Linked DNA regions of Canis lupus familiaris. The protein of the gene in region 2 purifies or fractionates together with the protein of the main gene of each other region. This does not show direct contact. Links are inferred from orthologs where the notes say so. Each region holds a gene or a part of one and is shown on either strand. Other genes may lie near its edges.

What was found.
Region 1: the proteins of RPP40 (region 2) and RPP25 purify together in Homo sapiens (affinity purification with mass spectrometry; 3 studies listed by BioGRID and IntAct, counting the BioPlex papers as one, with this or other methods). This does not show direct contact. The link is inferred for Canis lupus familiaris from reciprocal best matches to the Homo sapiens genes RPP40 and RPP25.

The regions. Positions count from the first base shown.
Region 1 is NC_049251.1:38,425,751-38,429,251, forward strand, and holds RPP25 (ribonuclease P protein subunit p25), read right to left. Parts: upstream 2,143-3,501; 5' UTR 2,080-2,142; coding exon 1,438-2,079; 3' UTR 782-1,437; downstream 1-781. UniProt on the Homo sapiens protein: Component of ribonuclease P, a ribonucleoprotein complex that generates mature tRNA molecules by cleaving their 5'-ends. Also a component of the MRP ribonuclease complex, which cleaves pre-rRNA sequences.
Region 2 is NC_049256.1:6,406,271-6,410,079, forward strand, and holds part of RPP40 (ribonuclease P protein subunit p40), read right to left. Parts: intron 3,054-3,809; coding exon 2,985-3,053; intron 2,415-2,984; coding exon 2,319-2,414; intron 1,415-2,318; coding exon 1,289-1,414; intron 1-1,288. UniProt on the Homo sapiens protein: Component of ribonuclease P, a ribonucleoprotein complex that generates mature tRNA molecules by cleaving their 5'-ends. Also a component of the MRP ribonuclease complex, which cleaves pre-rRNA sequences.

The DNA.
Region 1 (3,501 bases), on a different chromosome or scaffold from region 2:
CTTTCCGTACTTGCTGTTAAGTTGCAAGTGGTAGGGTCTGCTTGAGATCCTGGGGCTACGTGCCCCCCCAGCACCCCGTCCGCCTTCACTGGCCAAAGTCCTTCCGGCACACAGCACTCCTCCCCCCACCCCCAGCCCCAGCTGACTTGAGCTGGACCCAGAGGCTTACGAGGCTGTTATCTCTCAACAGACAGCTGTGCAGGGCTGGAGGCAGCAGCTTATCAGGGAGCCTGCAGTGATTCACAGCCCAAGTTCCAGCTTCTCTGCTGAATAGTAATTTCCAGCAGTGGATTTGTGCTCAGTCTGTCTCCTCCCCCTCTCCCAAGGGTGTGCTGTCCTTTCTGAGAGAGCAGTGAAGGGGAGATCCTACGGATGGCGAGGAGGGGTTTGGTGCCAGCTTTCTGGATATGGCTGTCAATTGGCAGGAGGCGGCAGGTTTAGGGAGCCCGGTGGGGTGTGCCTCCCTTGGCAGTGACCCCCAGGGGAGTTCACTGGGGCCTGCCAGCCTGCCTGCCTTCCCAGGAAAGCAATGAGCTCCTCTCTTTCCCTCAGTGGTGGTGCACGGGGGGGGGGGAGGGGGCACAAAGGCCCCCTTCTGGCTACCAGCCCCTGAGCCTAGAGCCAGACAGAAAGCTGAGAGAAGAGGCCAGGGACTGGGCAACGTGCCCCTTGTTCCACCTTGGAACAAGACTGCAGGCTGGAGGGGATGGAGACCCAAGGCCACAGGCCAAAGCAGTTTCCACATAGGTTAAGTGCTAAGAAAGAAACCTGGGGCCAGAGCCATTTTTGTGTTTGTTTTATTGGAAGCAGGACTCCAGCTCAGGGGGTAAGGCAGAGAGTTCTGTCTGGGGTCTGTCCTTCTGGGCCAGCAGGGGAAGGGGGACTGTTAAGAGAGCTAGAGCCCATGGGGACGCCCCTGCACCAAGATAGCAGGATGCTCCTTAACAGCAGCAGGGTAAGGAAACTAGAGAGGAAGAGGTCTTCCCCAGGTGACATAGACCGCCCCCCCCCCCCCCACTGTCCTGCCTTCCAGCCGTCTGCTGTCCTTCCTCGCCCCTTGCCTCAGCCGCCAACGGTGGAGAGGGTGCCAAGAGCTCTCCTGGGGCCACACACTGTCCTCGGGAACACCGGATGCCTCCAATCCTCGGGGGTCCTGGGCAAGGCTCAAGAGTCCCCCTGCCCACCGTCCCCTCCCGGAAGAAGGTCCCGGCATGGCTCGGTGGACTTGTGCGTCTCCAGGCAGCCCAAGTGGCGGAGCAGCCAAGCGCCCACGACGCTTCCCTGGGGTCCCCGCCCCGTAGCCCCGGGCCCGGTGCTGACGGCGCGAGGAGCTACGTCCCGAGCACCTCCCGGGCACCGAGCACCGGGGCATGAAAGGCTGGAGATGCGGCTCAAGGTCGGGGCTCCGGGGGCAGGAGGGGCCGGCCCCGCGAGCTCTCAGGCCATCGGACGCTCCTCCGCGGTCCCGGGCTCAGGTCGCAGGCGCTTGGCGGAGCCTTCGGCAGCCGCGGCTCCCCCCGGGCCCCGCTTGGACGTCGGCGCGGCGGGCTGCGACGAGGGTCCCGGATGGGCGTCCGGGGGCTGGTAGCCGGGCTGGCGCGGATCCAGGGCGTCCTTGCAGAGCAGGATGGCGAGGCCGGGCACGTTCTTGAGGACACTGAGGCTGGCGGCCGGCTCTCCAGGCCTGTGCCCCGGCGCGGGCCCCGGCGGGAGGCTTTGCCACACCTCGCGCACGCTCCGGTAGCGCAGCCGCGTGACCTGGTGCAGGCCCGCCAGGCGGCGCTTGAGGATCTCCGCGCACGTGACGGTCTTGGTGGAGGCTCGACCGCAGCCGCTGAAGACGATGGCGCGCGTGGCGGGCTGCGCCATGCTGGCCGTGGCGAAAGCCAGCAGGTTCCGGATCTTGCTGCCCTCCTTGACCCGCATGTGCACAGCGCCCGGCGCCAGGTCGGCGAAGGGCCCGGAGCCCGGGCCGCCCCCCTCGGCCCCCTCGCCCCCCGGCGCCTCCTCCGAGCGCACCTTACGGAAGTTCTCCATGCGCCGTCGTTGCCGGGACCGCGGGGGCGCGGACTTGGCCATGGGGCCGCCTCAGCCCTGGGGCTGCATGGCCGCCGCCGCCCCTGGCCAGGGCCCGCAGGTACCGGGGTGCGGGAGCGCCGCGGACGCCGGCGGGCGGGCTGGGACGGCGCGATCCTCGCCCCCGACCGGCTCCAGCGGGCGCCGCTCTCCGCCGCGCTCTCCGCGCCCAGGGCTCCGCGCCTTCAGCGGCCGCCCCGCCCCGGAGCCCGGAGCCCCGCCCCCGCCAGGCCCCGCCCCCGCCAGGCCCCGCCCCCGCCCGAGCCCCGGCCGCCTCCGGGATCCAGTCCCGAGTCCCGCCACCGGAGCGGTGCGCGGGGAGGTGCGGCGGCGGCGCCGGGGCGGAGCTGCGGGGCGCAGTTCCCCCGGAGTCGCCATCTGCCCTCCCTGAGCCAGCCCTCGTCAACGGGCGACCTGCGTAAAAACTGTGTGTGCGACGCCAAAGCCGCCTGGAGCCGGGCGCCCCAGCCCTTGCGCCCCCCGTGCCCTCGCAGGGAGGTTTTGCCCCCCGCCCCCCGGGGGAACGCCTGCGCCCCGTCCCCCCCGCGCCCGAGCCGCTCCTCCCGCCTCAAGGACGGCGGGGGCGCGAGCCGCAGAGTGCGGGGGCCCGGCTGCAGCTGCGCCCCGCGCTGCCCCCCGCGCTGCCCTCGGAGCGCCACGTCGCGGCGGCCGGGGACGGGTGGAGCCGGAGCTGGAGCTCGCGGACCCCGGCAGGCCCGGGCCGGGGGTGAGGCTGTGGGCCAGGCTGCCCCTGCGGCGCGTGGGACGAGCCCGGGAGAGCCCCTTCCCAAGGGCGCGCCTCCGCGCGTGGAGCGTCCACTGTTGGGGTAAGCCCGGCGCTGCTCCCTGGTGACGTGGACCCCCCCTTTGTCCCGGGAGGAACTCGTTGACGGTCAGCCGCGGCCCCCTGACACCCAGTGGGGTCCATTTCCAAAAAGGAGGCCCGAGGAAGGCAGGTTTTGAGAGGGAGAAGGGTGGCAGGTGGGAAGTGGAGGCCGCGGAGGCGGTGTGGAGCCACCGGGTGCCCCTCTCCGGGAACCCCGCCGGCCGGGAGAGGCGGGACAGAGCGGGGGCTGGGGTGGGAGGACAGGATGGGCGCGAAGTTCGCAGGCACTGGGCCCCCCGCAGCGCTGCCCTGGCCCGCGCCGTCGGGCGGGGGAGTGGGGCGGCCCCGGCCCGGGTGGGGGCGACCAGCGCGGGGCGAGCCCCGGAGGCGCGGCCGGGAAGCCTGAAAGTGCGGGCGGCCTGGCAGGGCCTGGGGGTGGCGGGGCCCGGCCCTGAGCCCGGGCTGCCTGCCGGGGTGCCCCTCTCCCTTCCCACCGCTCCTGTCGCCTCCTCGGCATCGGGTTTGTCCTGGGTCCCGGCCCCTGCTGTTCAGACCCCGGGCTGACCCCGCTACCGCCCTCGGGGAACGGCTGCAGGGTA
Region 2 (3,809 bases):
CTCGTTTAAGCTGGTCTTTAAAAACCCAGTAAAATCCAATGTATCCTCAAGGCTATTCCAAGAGCCTCGGATGACAGGAATGGTGGTCCCCTTGGGAGCAACGGGCAGGCTTGCTTGGTGTCCAGTGCAACAGAAATTATCTGCTTTCCCCGCCCCTCCTCCACCCCAGAGCAAAGGGCAGTGGGCTCACTGGCCAGGATAAACGCCTAGAGTTCCTTAAGCTCAGCATCCCTCTCCTGTAGCGTGGCCCCTGCACCTGCGGTAACCCCCGGCCAACTGCCTATCACCCTGCAGGGAGCAGGAGCTGCTGCACTGATGCGAGTGCTTCCCTCTGGCCACTGCCATTGCTGAGTAATTAAATCCCATTTGTGTCTCCTGCCAGCATCCAGGAAACTGCAGCCTAACTTCTTGGCTTACAAGTGGAGAAAATCTCACCTGTTCCCCAGTGGCTGACAAGCCTTTAAAATAACTGGAGCCTTAGGAACACAGAGCTCTCCAGAGCCCAATGCACACGTGATCCTCAATGAAAACTTCATGCACCTGAAATGTCAGTCTGTCTGCCCTCCTGTACCTCTATCCTCAGTAGGAGAAGCAATGAGGTGTTACAGACTGAGGATTCATGCAAGCAACCTAGAGCCCCCAGTGACCAGAAACCCCCCATGGAGAGCAGATGGATAGGTGTAGCTCCCAAATGGACCTATGTGTCCTCCCTATTCCCCAGGAAAGAGCACTACGCCATCACAGCTGTGATGATCTGACTCAATGCAATCTTGCGACGGACCAGAGACCCATTCTACAAGGAGCAAGGCGCACGGCAGTTGTCAGCACATCAGTACATGTGGTGACCAAACACCTCACATGATTTAACGTTTTAATAGGTTCCAAGTTACAACAAATTTAATCTGACGTTTAATGGCTTGCCTGATTTTTACCCTGTAATAATCAACATGTTGTGTTACTTTAAAACACAAAGCCAAGGCTGTTTGAGGTAAGATGCAAGAAGGGAGGGGGGAAGAAATAGAAGTTGGCTGCTCTGAAGCCCGTGTCAAGATCTCTGGATGGACACGAACCCAAGGAAACGGAGGCAGATGGCCGCATGCCCAGATCCTCCTGAACTATGGCTCCAGGGGAAAGCAGGGGTCCCGAAGCAGCTTCCTGAATAATGATTATGCACACAGGTACACAATACCCTAGACCCCAGGGATGAACCACGATTCAGTCCTCCACGACTCCCCTTTAATTAAAAATTAGATTTCCAAATCATTGTACTGGTACACAATTTACATACCTGTATGATGCCAAGCCAAAAGAAAATCAAATTTCAAGGGCTTCTTTTCCTTGAAGGACCAAGATATTCTTTCGTACTTCTTAGAATTCGGGTTAAAGGATAAATCCATCAAATCAATGGAAACAACTTAAAAAAACGGAAAGAGGAAAAAATAGTTCATTCGTATACACGCAGCCTGCACTGTGGAAAAAGTCCGATAGTAAGAGGCATCAGCATTTTTAGAAATTTTATGAATAGGGGCAGCCCGGGGGGCTCAGTGGTTTAGCGCCGCCTTTGGCCCAGGATGTGATCCTGGGGTCCTGGCATCGAGTCCCAGGTCGGGCTCCCTGCATGGGCCTGCTTCTGCCTCTGCCTGTGTTTCTGCCTCTCTCTCTGTGTCTCTCATGAATAAATAAATAAAATCTTAAAAAAAAAAAGGAATTTTATGAATAGCAAAAATTACCTTGTTCTTCTGGCATTCCTTTGGTTTACCAAACCAAAACTGCCTTTCACGGGCATTTCTAGCATTGGTAATTAGTAACAAGAGAGGTTTTAAATTCATACTTTTTCTAGGTCACAGCCCAAGAGGAGAGGCCCTTGGAAAGTCAAGCCTAATCTGCGGATGTGACAGCCACTGTCATTCATGTTCAGGCTGGACACTCGGCACAACCGTACCTCCTCACTCACGGGGGTGCCTCCTCTAGTATCACAGAAACTGGGCAAAAGTAAATTCTTCACGAAGAACAAGTTGTAGGCTTTTATCTTGGGTTCATCAGTTTGAATTTTTTGACCCAAATCCTACATATTTAATGGGCCACTCCGATTCCGTGATCCTTAGAAGATACAGCCCACAGCCGAGGAGAATCAGAAGCAACAGCAATCTTACTCTCTCCAGAGCTCAGCCCAGAGCCCCGTGGGTCAGAAGTCTTAAAGCCAAGAAAAAGCCATGTTCCTTCTGAACAAGAGAACGGCGGCAATTCTAACATTTAAACTTCAATTACTACAGGAAGATTACTGACTTGTTAGAGACCGATGGGAGCATAATACTTACTAAATTTCATGACTTTTCTGCCAGAATATTGAGATGGACGACCTTGAAGGCCAGTTTCTTCGTAAGTGTCTTTGTCCAGTGATAAAATTAATTTCCCTATAAATCAAATAATTTCCATAAAAGAGATGTTAAAAATATGACATGTTCTCTCACTCAAAGAAAGCACAGCCAGTTGAGCAGTTAGATAGGAGCATAATAAATTACATACAAAGATCTTTATGACACAAGGACGTTAATACATACATCTTATTTATGTCCAGGGATATTTTAATATGTTGTACATACAAGGACATTATTTATGACAGCGAAAACAGACATTATCTAAATTTCTGTTAAAGAAAGAACGGTTACACAAATCATGGTATTCCCCTTCAAATATCTTCGAAATCTTAAAAATAGTAAGTCAGAACTATATGCCCTGATAGGGAAAGATGTCTATGACATATTGAGAAAAAAGAAAATTGAGAAACAACTCAGTAGAATGTAATTTATGTTAAAAAAAAAACCAAGCTTTATGTGTGTTTATAAATTTATAGAAAATGTGAAGAAGAATAAACACCAGCCTGTTAACAACAGTTCATTCTAAGAAGGCGAGTGAATCTGGAGATTTGACTTTTTTTTTTCTGTATGGTACTTAACAGTAAAGAAAAAAAGAAGCGTTGTTACCGTTTGGCAGCAGGGCAACAGTATTATCTTCATCAATATTTGTGTTGTGTGTTAGCGCATAGCACGAACCTGTAAGAGAAAGGCCAGATGAGAAATTAAGACAAGAAAAAAAAAGATCACACCTGCAAAAAGGTAGTGGATTCTCTTCACACGGTAACGTATCTTCCCGGTGAGTAAGGGTCGGTATCCACCACTGCTCCAGCTGGCTCAGTAAGCCTAAAACCCGCCCAGGGCGAGCTGGAGGACACAGAGGCCGTGCTCCAGCTCGCTCACGCCCCCACCCAGGGCCCACCACGGAGCAGAGAATGGACTCAGGGCATAGTGTGTGCCTCCGGGGAGGCTGGCGGAGAGGCACAAAGGAGAATACTAGGTCAGTGCACACCCCTGAGATGATGGGTTCCAGGGAAAGACTCAAAACGTGCCAGGACCTTGTGTGACGTTAGGAAAGCTGTTCAGTCTCTGTGAGCCTCACTTTTCCTCACCTGTCAAATGGGGATCGTGGGCCTACCTCATAGAGCTGTTTCAAGAGTTCAACTGGTTAAGATATGTAAACGCCCCCGTTACAGCCAGTGGCCACATTATGAACAAAGTAGGACCAAACTTCAAGAGATGAAAGGACTACAGCTGACGGGAACCAAGACCACACAGGGCCAGCCGCACCCGAATGAGAGGAACTGCATGTAACTGGGTTCTTCACAGCTCCGTCTACAACAAGAGAAGGGGCGGGCTTACTCACAGGTGCAGTGAAGGGGGAATCCCTAAAGACAGCCTGAAATACGGTTTCAAACAAGCGACCCCTAGGAAACAAGTGGAATGAAGCAACCA